2 linked regions of the Drosophila melanogaster genome follow. The protein of the gene in region 1 interacts with the protein of each later gene in a pairwise test. Each region holds a gene or a part of one and is shown on either strand. Other genes may lie near its edges.

Region 1 (6,870 bases):
AATTTATTTCAATACACTTAGGATAGAAAAATTCAATCAACCGGACGCTAATGTTGTCGGCTTCGACGCTGCGATGAAGGTGGGGTACGAACTGAACCGCTTACAGAACAATGACCGCCGCTGCAGTGGTGCCAGCGAGCCAGATGCTGACGCTGCGATGGTGGTGGGGTAGGAACTGCCCCGCTTACCCCGAGAAGAAAGTGCTGCGTTTTAACTCCTCCCCCTTTAAGACCTGCGTCCCACAGGTTAAGTAGCCTTGGTCTGTCCGGAGGCAACGGGCGGATGCGAGATCACGGTGATATTGCCTGGTTTCCTCCACAGGAAACACAAGAGAGAAAAGGTGAGCAGAGCCAATTCTGCCTCCGTTAGGAATGACCTCGGCCATCTTTTCCAAGTTCTTTAAACTCACGTCATGTTCGTACTCCAGAGATAGCTGGTAATCGTTGGCTGTTACTTGTGTTAGGACGGCCGGCAATGCCATCCTGTAAATTTGTATCGATTTGCCAAAAAACTTTTTGCCACGCTCACTCTATCGCCCAAAAGTCGACCAGCCAGTCATGCCCACACTTTGGAACAATGTTATATCCCCGATGATAATGTTCCAATTGGCTCAATTACCTGACACGCTTCGTCTGCCTTAGTTTGGGTTTGACACAAACGTACAAAATTTTTATTCCTCCATTTAAAAAATTTTTTGAACTATGATTTTAAATTTCATTTTTTGCTTTACCAGTTTCTAATGAAATGGCAAAATAAATCGTCACCTAAAAATTTAATAAATAGTTTAATATATTAAAGCTTAACAAAGAAACAAATATTTTTAAATTTCTACAGCTCTCTCCCCCTAGATGAGTATCGGGTATCTGATACTCCAAAAATTCTACTCTGGTTTCGTGTTTTTATATAATATTATTCTAAATTCTTACTAAATAGTGTCACTGCAGGTGCACAAATTGTATTGGATTGGGCACTGGGCCATAATGATTATGCTTACATATGTAATTATTAATACGGCTATTTTAATCACTTAAAAAGAATAATTTTAAATTTTGTAAAAAAAAATTTTGTATGTGTTTTTGACTTTGATCAAAGAGTCAAAGAGAGTGTTTTCGTGCTGTAGCGAAATTGAAGCGAAAGTGTTTTCTGTAGCATTCTTAAAGGTCTACCTGTGGGTGGTTAATCTGCAGTTTAGTTGTGCCATATAAATAGCTGAAGGTTAGGGAAAAAAGTTTCGTTATATATGCGTTTAGGTGTTTTATTCTATATCTATATATTTACTCTCCTAAAACAGAAGAGGGATTTTCCGTTAGCTAATCCATTAGTCAATTTTAAAAATTGGTTACGGAAAAGCGATTTTTTAACAGACCTATTTCCTTTTAATTACATATCTTAAATCTTAAAACTATGTCAAAACTTGTTGAGCTAGCTTACTAATGGCGATATAAATAATCTATATCATATATTAGAATTAAATCTCTCAACTGTTGTCTGTGCGAATAGTCTATAATGAAACATTTAGGTCTGTTGGAATATGGTATAATTAAAATTGTCAAATTATTGCACATTGATATTAATCAAAAATTGTATGTCCTCAAATAAACGATAACAGTTTTATTCTGCAAAGTTTGCACTGTAACAAACCAATTGTATCCACCAATGGCCTACAATCATGATGGTATGCCAGACCAGCAATTTCTTTGGGATGTTTTTCAAAGGTAACAGTCACAGAATAAATACTTCTAACTAGCGATAAAGCGACTTTTTTTTAGAGTGGATAAAGATAGGAGTGGTCATATATCCGCAGATGAGCTACAAGTGGCCCTTTCGAATGGTACCTGGTCTGCATTTAATCCGGAGACTATCCGTTTGATGATTGGAATGTTTGATCGTGAAAATAAAGGGACTGTGTCCTTTAAAGATTTTGGAGCGTTGTGGAAGTATGTGACGGATTGGCAAAATTGTTTTCGATCCTTTGATCGTGACAATTCTGGAAATATTGACAAAACTGAGCTGAAAACAGCACTGACATCATTTGGTTATCGTTTATCTGACCACCTAATCGACGTCTTACTACGAAAATTTGACCGCTTTGGGCGTGGTACAATTCTTTTCGATGATTTTATTCAATGTTGTATTGTGCTGTATGTAAGTATGACTGTTATTGCAATATATGAGTACAAGGTAGCTGTTGGCTCTAGAGATTTTCGCTGTCTGGCTTATGAAAAAATTTTTGAGATAGCTTTGAAGCCAGCACGAAAAAATTGTATGGCGTTTCGGGTTTTTTCTAATGTCTTTGCAAACAAACGCTCACCACTTATAAATATGTCAGAACGCTATAGTCGAGTTCTTTACTACCAGTTACTCAGGTAGTGGGAGTGCACGGGAGGTATGCTAATCATCAGATACCCATTACTTCGATTGGGGGTGTGCAAGTTGGAGAAGTTGGAGATATTATAGCAATGCTTTTCCCATTGTTATGCTCGCTAAGGATGTGTAAAGTTTAGCTGAGAGTGCTTATGTCTATATTTCCTATTATTGATTATATTCATATATAAGTTGTTGTCGTTTCCCGTTGTTGGCGCATTTCCCTCTATGCCATCCTTTTTATACCTTTTACTCGTAAACGGGTAGTATACCCGTTCGTTCGTTGAGAAGTATGTAGTGGAAGCGGTTTCGACCCTATAAAGTGTGTATATCCCTGATCAGAAACACTAGTATAAACGTTGTGAACTAGTGATTCTAGCAATCCCACAAAGCGGCTAAAGCGTCCACAACTTTACTTATTTCTATCAATATCTAAATACACATCTTTTAAGCTATGATAGGCAAGGTAATTTACCATAGCATTCTAATTTGTTATACCCGTTACTCGTAGAGTAACTAGTGATTCTAGCAATGCTTACGCAGGGCATATTTTCTTTAGAACGTTTTAATCCCACAAATCAAAAGGTTATACTAGATTAAAAGTCTGTAACAGGCAAAAATAAGCATATATTCTTGATCAGGATCAACAGCCGAGTGTAAATCTATATGTCAGAATCTATTAAAGCTAGAAGGTTGAGATTAAGCATACAGATTCTAGAGACATAGACGCAGCTTCTCCCACGCCCACTTTAACGCCCTAAAGTCGTCGAACCGGTCACGCCCACACTTTGGAACAATTCTTAAATTTTTTCTCATTTTAATCCCCAATATCTATCGATATCCCAGAAGAATAAAAAAATTTCGCATTCGCATTCACACTAGCTGAGTAACGGGTATCTAATAGTCAGGGAACTTGTTTATAGCACTCTCTCTTTTTTTTCAGTTGTTTTTCCAATTTTATCGATATGGCGAAAACATTTTGCCCACGCCCACTCTGGACACCACCCAAATCTATCTCGGCCAGACCTTAGAACATTAAAATTATTTTTCCCCTCAATTTCTCTTGTTATTCCTTGAAAATGTTGAAAATTCTATGTCCCACGTGAACTAGCTGAACTAACGGGTATCTGATAGTCGTGAAACTCGACTATAGCCTTATCTCTTGATTTTTCTACATTATCAAAATGTTCGTCGTTTACATTTATGGCTAGACAATCATTTAATAAAATCTTCTAAACTGAGGGAGTGATTCGGAAAATTTTTGTATATCGCTAGATATTTAACATGAAAGCTAAAACATTTAAGTGTGATGGTGACAATTTTGAGCTGTTAGTGGACTTTAGTTAACGCACTGGGAGCGGGATCGAGAGTGCAATAAAACTTTCCTTTCCTCAGAAAACTTTTCCGCAGAACTCGCCCTTAGATTAGTTAGGCTTAAGCGTATATGAAAATAAAGTTGAGTTGCTTATTAAAAATAATCGAATCAATTTTAAATAAATTTCCCAAACGTCAAATTTTAAGTTATAAATTTTATTTTGTGAAATTTTAAATTTCGTACAAATTTCGTTAGTCCCGTACCGTAGCAAAGACGCGGCTGATTGATGTTTCTTAACAAAATTAACATTATATGCGGGGACAGCCTTGGTAATTTCAATTAACTTAAAAACTAAATTAGATAATTAAAACGTCGTCTTCTTCATTGACTTATTTGTAGCAATAAATTTTGAATGGAAAAATTTATTTATTAATGAAAAAAGCGATGATCCGAATTTGGGACTGGCATAAGTGAACCCACAATATGATAAACCTTGAATCTGTCGAAATTAAGGTAAATGCACTGTTGTCAAACCGCTTTGACCCATAAATAAATTATAAATCAAGAAAGTTATATGTTATGTTGTGATGAAAATAAGATGTCGTTGTTAAATGATGTTTGTGTCCATGTTTGCTCGTCCATTGCAAAATCAAAATATAAATTATTTTAACGGTTGGCATGAAACTATTTTCAATACATCTAAATGTTAGCTAAGAAATGTTATGAAACTGAACCATCACCAGACAGAAGAGATTGTAATGGCTCTGGTTGAAATGGTGGCACTTTTCATCAGCAAAGCACAACCCTATAGTTTCTTTTGGATATTTGCGTGCGTTACAATGCTGGCATAAAACAATCATCGCACCAAAATCAATGCATTGATTGTGCCATTCATTATAGCATCAAAACGATATGATGCTCAATTCAAGTCCGTCTCAATATTTTTACGCCGCACACGTCTGTTTTCAGTTTCTTGATTATCACGTGCAGCAGAACGACGTCCTCTTCACGCATTATTGTTTCACTTTCTTCTTATGCGCAATTCACGCTGACGAAGACTTGCCAACCGCCGCGCTGTTCTACTTCGCGTTGCAAGATTTGAACGTCGTGGTCGCTGCATTTTTTTTTACTAAGTCGTACTAAGATGTTGAAAAATGTTTGTAAGAAAAATCAAAATGATGCACTTTGAATGCGCGAAAACAGCGAATGAAACAACGAAAAATGCACAATCGATTTACGGATATCCTCAATTAGCGATAATCGTTTGAAAAAACACACACCTATTTATAATAACACAAATGTAACCAGGAATCCACTAAAAAAAAACAAGAGAGAATGCTATAGTAGAGTTCCCCGACTATCAGATACCCGTTACTTTAGGCAGTGGCAGCTTTGGGCGGTTTTAGGGCGTTAGAGTGGACATGGCAAAAAGTTTTTTGGCGAATCGATAGAAATTTACACAACTATATAAATTATTCAAAAATATCAAAAAAAAAAAAATAAATAAATGTCCTATAACAACTTTTGGCTTTAGTCCACGCTTGCGGCTGTCTATGCGGAATTCCACACACCTGTAGCTTCTCCTGCTGATCTACTTTTACAGCTTCTCCTGCCGCGATCTTACTCGGACCCCGGACATATATTAATATTACTAAATTTTTCTATTACAGACATTAACAACTGCATTCCGCCAGCACGACACTGACTTGGATGGGATCATAACCATACATTACGAACAGTTCTTAAGTATGGTATTTTCGTTAAAAATATAGTATTAAGTGATCTAAACTAAATAAATGATTTGTTTTGCGCTATACACAGCTACACATATTGCTAAAAGTTTTTATTCGAAAGAGCATACCTCCTTTTAAGAGTTTTTTACCAAAAAACTTTTTAAATGTTGATAATAAAAACTGTTATAACTTAGGCGATAGACGAAAATATCTCTTCAGATTTCTCCAGGAATTTCTAATATACTGTGATTCTAAGACCGCAACAGTTCAACCAAAGACAGTAGAATAACAAGATGCGTAACGGCCATACATTGGTTTAGCACTATACAGCCACTTTTTTGGTGACGGCCAAAATTGCCCTGTGTCCGCTCGCTTACGCTGAGAGAAGAAATCTAAAAATAGAATTTTCTTGCTTGAGTGAGCAAAACCAGAGACCAGAACGCGTATATGTGTGCGTGTTGTGATAGAAGACGATTTTCGGGCCGATTTACATATTTGGGGAGTTTTGGCCAATTTCGTAGGAATATGATGAAATTGCGCGCTGTTTAAAAATATTAAATTAGAATATAAAAAAAAACTCAATATGAAAAACAACCTAATGTGCATTTTAAATAATAAAACTGGATCATTTACATACATACAAAGGAAATTATTATAACTACTACTTCTTTTTCCAAAAAGAAGACATTACATTGAGAAATAAATATTTCATAAAAATAATACGTAGTAGAAAATATAAACTTATTAAATAAAAAAAATATGAAAACTGTTTATTGCAGAAGTCATATCAAAGACACTAGAATTATTCAAGTGTTTTTGCTTTGGTCATACAAAGCACAAAGTGCGGACACAAGCACTCAACGATCATTGCCGTGTTAATTTTTCACACGCCGCAAGCTGAATACTCTAATGACAAATATTCTAATATAAAGTCATTTTTGAAATTTATTTTGCGATATGATTCGGCTATTACTATTTCTAAGCTATATTTAAATAATAATAACGTTTAGGCAATGCAAAACAAGAATTTTTCGCCAATTGTGCCAATTGATCAAAAATAATATACATTTAAAGTCTAAGAACTTCTAAGGTGAAGGACATATTTAGTCAAATTTACAATGCACGAGCATACATGTGCACACATACAGTTGTCTGCCATCACTGTATGCGTAGAAAAGAGCTGTTCGCTGAAGAGTCGACAGAAGATTTACAGCTTCTTAGGGAAGTCTAATTTTTAATTACATATACCCGTTACTCGTAGAGTAAAAGACTATTCTAGATTCGTTGAAAAGTATGCAACAGGTAGAACAAAGCGTTTCCGACTATATAAAGTATATATATTCTTGATCAGGATCAATAGCCGAGTCGCTCTAGCCATGTCCGTCTGTCCGTATAGATGTGAAGATCTCAGGAACTTTAAAAGCTAGAAGCTTGATATTCAGCATACAATTTCTAGAG
Region 2 (5,918 bases), on another chromosome or scaffold:
GTAATTTTTGATGAGTTCTTTGCGAATATTAGTTTTTGTTGATGACTAGTTGTTGTTCTCACGTAGGCCGCACAGTGTTGTCACACCTTGCTTTTAAAGTTTTACGCTATCCTACGGTCACACTGTAGTGGTATTATTTAGGACATTTGAAACTATTGCGTTCATTGCGAACATTTTGGTGCGTGTGAAAAGTTATTAAATCAACAAAAATGGCTTTCCGCATACCTTTTGGCAAGAAGCACGCTGAGATAGCGAGTTCCTTGTAAGTATATGCTGTCGTGCTTGATTCTGCATCATGAATTCATTAGTGTTCCCGCTCTTTTACTGCTACCAAAGCACACATTGCATAACCCCATCCAGAGAACTAAACTAGTTTCTTTTAATTCGTAGCATCCGATCTGGAGCCGGATTCGGAGGAGCTGCTGGCCTGGCCGTGCTTTACTACACCGACTGGAAGCTGGTCCTACAGTACGTGCCCATCTACGGATCCAAGTTCGAAAAAAGCGAGTAACCTTGCCTGCCGTAGTTGAATCCACAGTTAGCCTCGATGTTTTGCTTGGTGAATAAAATAAGTTAAAACGACCAAAGGGTATTACTGAGTATCGTATATTACAAATAACTTTGTAGAGGGCACAAGGATCGGTTAGATTATTTCTCTAGCTAACTAATCGCTAAGGCTTAAGTAACTGTTCCCTAAGTCTTACATGGCTAGCCTATTTTGATCAAGCATTGTATAAAAAAGTACAACGGCGAGCTGCCCATTCGATTGGAAGAGTACAAAACGGTTTCTTTTTTGAAAAGAGAAATATGAGATTGCGTATTTGGAAGCCCGAATAGACCGACGATTGAATCCTTTTAGACAAGTAATTTGGAATTTCGCTTAATAAATTCTAGTTTGAACCATAACTTTCCTAACAATCCGGTTCAACAAAGGAGGCGGGGAACAGCCCGGTTTTGTGGGTACGGGCATGGGTGCCCTTATACCAGCCGTTCTTCTGCTTCCGCTGGACGTAGATAATGTCGCCCAAATGTAGCTCTAGTTCAATGTCACTGTTTGGTGGATACGGCACAATGCAGCGGAATCGACTACGATAAAAGGTTGCATTAGTAAATCTCTAAGCTCACAATAATGTATTGCAAAACCCACCTTTCCCTCGTGCAGTAAGGAGACTTAGTGGTGGCGCTGGCCTTAATGGCCGCCTCCGTGATCATATTGCTGCTGGGACTCAGCACATGACTCGCATCTAGGCTGTGCGACTTCCGATGGCTGGGTGCAATAATCATATTGGCATGCAACTGGGATTGCGCTCCACCTCCAGGAATCACCTGTTGCTGACCGCCGGCGTAGACAGCTGGGGCCACGGAAGTAGTAGGTGGCGGCGGCGACGCGGCATTGTTGTACATACTGCGAAATGTAGCTGCATCTAATGATTGTCTCGCGCTGAATCAAAATCCAAGAGTCAGTTAAAAGTTAAAGCATTCAAATTAAGCCTAACGAACCAAATCAAGTGAGGACGTTCCTTGCTTCCTTTCACGCGTTGCGATCCGTACGAAACGCTGTTCGTAGAAGCGGAAGGCAGCTGCTTGGGTAGGAACTGCTGTTGTTGTGCCGCTGTCTTGGCTGCTGGAGTTTCATTGAGCGGTTGACTGTGCTGCAGCTGACTGGGGCACGAGCCGGATCTGAAGAGACAAAACAATTAAACTTTTATTCTGGTCTATAAAGATAACTTATTATTGCGGATCTAACCTTACATGTACTGGATGCAATTTAGCTGATGGGTTTGTTGTAAATTCCACATTTGTGCTAATAGCTTCTTTCGGAACTTGCTGCAAGGACGCTCCCGGAGATTTGGAGCGTGTTTTCATGTGAGTTAATCTCCTCATAAGTCCCACTGCTCCAGAGGAACTGCTGCTCGTAGTCGAAGCTGTGGCAGTTTCAGGCTTGGGCTCCGATTTTCTGCTGAACAGCGCCTCCACTGGTTTCGACCACACAGAGCAACTGGTGGTCGTGGCGGTAGCCTGCTGCTGACGAGGTGGCAAATCAGGCGGTTGCATGGACAGCATGTTGTTGAGTCGCACATCTGGTGCAACTGGATGCTGCTGTACTTGTGCCATCTGGGCGTCTGCATTTTGGGGAACATATTTCCATTGATGCATTAACTGCTGCTGGTCGCGGGCGCGCAGGGGCGTCAGGTAGTTGCCCGGGAACACTCCAGTGATGTCCAACCAGTTTTTTCCCTTGAACCAACCGTCCACACATCGTTCGGTCACAATGTAAACACAACCCTTTTTTAATTCCAGCTCATCCGTTTGGCGTGGTTTGTATGGGAACAGGGCTAAGTATCCCCAGGGTAAATTCGGTTGCATCTGCTGCTGAACAGTGGTCTTAAGTACACGCGATGTCTGTGGGGCTGACGTGGGTTTTAGAGCTGTTGAGCTGGAAACTTCCAAGCGGCTTAGTTCATGGGGCAGGCTAAGAATTTCAGCCGAATGGCGGTTGGTCTGCAGCAGACTTAATGGAGCTCCTCCTCCCAGCAAAGCATTTAGTGAGTGGCGTTTCTCCTTTGCTCCCTTGTCACGGAAACGAACAGACGCCGATCCGGAAGCTACTACATGTTGGGGGGTATTCGGCAGTGAGATTTGGTGATTCGGACTGCAGTTATTCGAGCTGGATGTGGAGCTTGAATTGCTGCTGCCCGGCGTGGAATTGGAGGATCCCGAACTGGATTCCGTGACCACCGTGGGATCAATAACTGGAACCGGAGGAAGGGCCCGCTGCCCCTGTTGCTTCGGTGGATGGCAGAATGGATGGGTGTGTAGCCCGCTGTCCAACAGCTTTTTGGCCGCTGCATTCAGCTCAACGAATGCTATTGGAAAGATTCCGATGGTCTGGCCAATTCGTCCTTCTGCCCAATTATGATCAACTCGGCGCATTACCTGTATTACAGTGCTTTTCTTAAATTCGAGGCATCCCTCCTCGTCGTTGGGCCCCATCTTAAAGTCATACATGGCAATGCACTGCGGCATGGGCAGCGGAACCGATACCTTGACGTAGTTGATGGGAAATGTGCCCTCCTGACCATTCGCTTGACCCACAAACCAGTTGTTGTCGATGCGATGCTTGATCAGTATCAGATCCCCTTTCTTGAACTTTAGATCGGTGGCTTCACCGGAGGCGAAGTCAAAGAGGGCATAGGCGTGGGGGAGTAGAAATCGACGTTGCTTGTGACGAGCCGGCTGATGAGATTGCTGATGTGACTGCAGCTGGAGTAGTTGGTTGTCAGGCGGGGCCACTGATTCCGCTGGCGGCTGAGGTTTGGCCCTTTCCGGCTGTGTTTCAGTCTCCTCTCCCTTTTCTTCTCCTTTGCCAGCTGCTGCATTTTGTTTCATGCCTGTGAGAATTAAAGAAAGGGTGTTTAAAGGTAGGTAAAGACCAGGTAAACGCCATATTCAATTGCCAAAGCCACTTTGCCGCACTCATAAAGTCAACCATTCTTTGATTTTGAGCGTAGGCTGTTGTGCTGTGCCAGTTTAGGTTGGTGTGGGCGTTAGCTGTTACCTTCTAAGATTCGCATCAGCAAGACGTTTGGAGGCAGCTCATCAATTTTGCAAGAGACCAGGATGCGGCACTCCGGGCATCGCAACTTGTGCTGACTGGCCACAATGTCCTGGCATAGAATGATGAAATCATTCGGTTATATGATATATATGTAGCAAACCCACAACAATTACTCACCTGCAAGCATTTGCGGCAGAAGGTGTGCTGGCATGGCAGCACCTTCGATGTGGTGTCCAGTCGCTCAAGACACACGGAGCACTCCAACAGGTCGTTTAACGTGTGCTCGTCCATCTTGCCAGTATGCAAAATCTCAAGGATGGTCACTATTTGAATTTCGTGCAGGGCCACATTCCAAAACACACACACATGCAGGTACTGGCTCACGCATACGCAATCCCAAGACGCGGTTGGGAAATAAATTTAGCTCAAATGCTAAAATCTACTATTATAATCGCTACTTGTCGTTCTTAATGCACTAAATCAGATTATATTATCGTTGCAATAGGCAGGATTCAATGTTTAATTTATTAAGTTTGCCAAGTGCAGCCAAAGCTCGTGGCCAAGCGGATACAAATGTACATAGGCACACGGATATAAAACCAGCTTGATACTTGAACACAGTGATGGTCATAAGTATATGCCCAATAGGAATAGTAGTTCCATAACATTTAACCAAAAAGAAAGAAGCTAAGAGAGTACTACATGTTTTTTAAATTCACTAAATTTGCAAAAAATTATTTAAATACCACATGTGCCCCGGTTATAGTTGCATTTAATAAATGCAAATAATTGTTAAGTTGTACCCAAACTGGTGTTTATTACTGTTGGGATTTTAGTGTGGCCAGTCCTCGTAGTCGATATTTTCTGAAGCGCATTTTAGTGTTGGATACTAAGTCCAGACAGTGCTGAAAAACGCACGATCCCTTTGTTTTTTTATTTCATATAAAAACACGTGTGGTTTGGTTTGATCGTGTTCAAATATACGATTTGATTTATAAACAAGGCACACGACATTCTTGAGACACCATGCCAAAGGTACGCAGCACCCCGGGTAAGCCCCGGACGCAGGGATTCAACCACTCAAACCACTCCATGAATCCGGAGCGCCCCAAAAGCGGTCTCAAGGGAGTCGCCCACCCCCGCACTAAGGGCACCATCAAGCGGCTTCAGATGTACCGTAACTTCAAGGCCAAGCGCGATCGCACTGGAAAGATCCTCACGCCCGCCCCCTTCCAGGTGAGATTTAGCTTTACAACATGTATCTTCGATAATTCTTATCTTTGGATTCATAAGATTTACCATCACTTATAGACATAGGAAGGATTTATTGCAACATGAATATCCAATAACCATTGTTTAGTTTTCAAAATTATCATCTACTTCACAAAGGTGCAATTAAAACGATCGACTCAAAATTAAAAGCATTAAAAGATAAAAAGATTTCATAAGTATATTTTGTTACGACTTATTATCCGTATAATAATTTAATTACAAATCTTATGTTTTCATTCTTGTTGTAAATATATAAAAGAAAAAATTAAATACAAGAGAGAAAATGCCGAATATGTTTTCCACAACCCATTTAATAATTCATACTAATCCTGGAAATGTGCTTTATTTTAGGGGCGCCTGCCTGCTGGAACAATGGCTCGAGTTGAGCCTACGCCCAAGTGGTTTAGCAATTCCCGCGTTATCTCGCAAACTGCTTTGCAAAAGTTCCAGGATGAGATTGGCAAGGCTGTCAAGGATCCCTACCAGGTGATCATGAAGCCATCCCAGTTACCGGTAACTTTACTGAACGAGGCAGCAAAATACAAAAGGGTTCATTTGCTGGACACCGAGAGCTTCGACAGTACCTTTGGGCCCAAAAAGCAGCGCAAGCGCGTCAGCCTAAAGGTTCGCGATCTGGAAGATTTAAGCAAGGCGGCCGATGACCAGGCCGATAAGTACGATTCAGCTAAGGATTTAGATCTAATCCGCGAGGATACTGGCGAAAAGAAGGCCGTCCGTGATTGGGTGTTCGGTGCGGGGCAGAGTAAACGCATCTGGAACGAGTTGCACAAGGTGGTCGATGCGTCCGATGTGCTGCTTCAGGTTCTTGATGCCCGCGATCCCATGGGCACGCGCTCGAAGTACATTGAGGAGTTCTTGCGCAAGGAAAAACCGCACAAACATCTATTTTTCATTCTGAACAAGGTTGATCTGGTACCGGTGTGGGTAACGCAGCGTTGGGTGGCTATTCTTAGTGCCGAATATCCTACTATTGCCTTCCATGCCTCCCTACAACATCCTTTTGGAAAAGGTAAGTTTATAAAGTAAAAATATCAATTATTTGTCATAAAAATCAATTATTTTTATA

Evidence for each region.
Region 2: the proteins of Alg-2 (region 1) and POSH interact in a two-hybrid assay, tested with the Drosophila melanogaster proteins (one study listed by BioGRID).

What each region holds. Positions count from the first base shown.
Region 1 is NT_033777.3:3,621,561-3,628,430, forward strand, and holds Alg-2 (Apoptosis-linked gene-2), read left to right. Parts: upstream 1-1,582; 5' UTR 1,583-1,656; coding exon 1,657-1,715; intron 1,716-1,769; coding exon 1,770-2,145; intron 2,146-5,349; coding exon 5,350-5,451; 3' UTR 5,452-6,130; downstream 6,131-6,870.
Region 2 is NT_033778.4:17,566,996-17,572,913, reverse strand, and holds POSH (plenty of SH3s), read right to left. Parts: upstream 4,183-5,918; 5' UTR 3,851-4,182; coding exon 3,737-3,850; intron 3,669-3,736; coding exon 3,560-3,668; intron 3,393-3,559; coding exon 1,748-3,392; intron 1,681-1,747; coding exon 1,501-1,680; intron 1,442-1,500; coding exon 1,148-1,441; intron 1,087-1,147; coding exon 912-1,086; 3' UTR 592-911; downstream 1-591. Other genes in the region: UQCR-6.4 (Ubiquinol-cytochrome c reductase 6.4 kDa subunit), read left to right, coding at 210-262, 391-511; Ns2 (nucleostemin 2), read left to right, coding at 4,586-4,795, 5,183-5,861.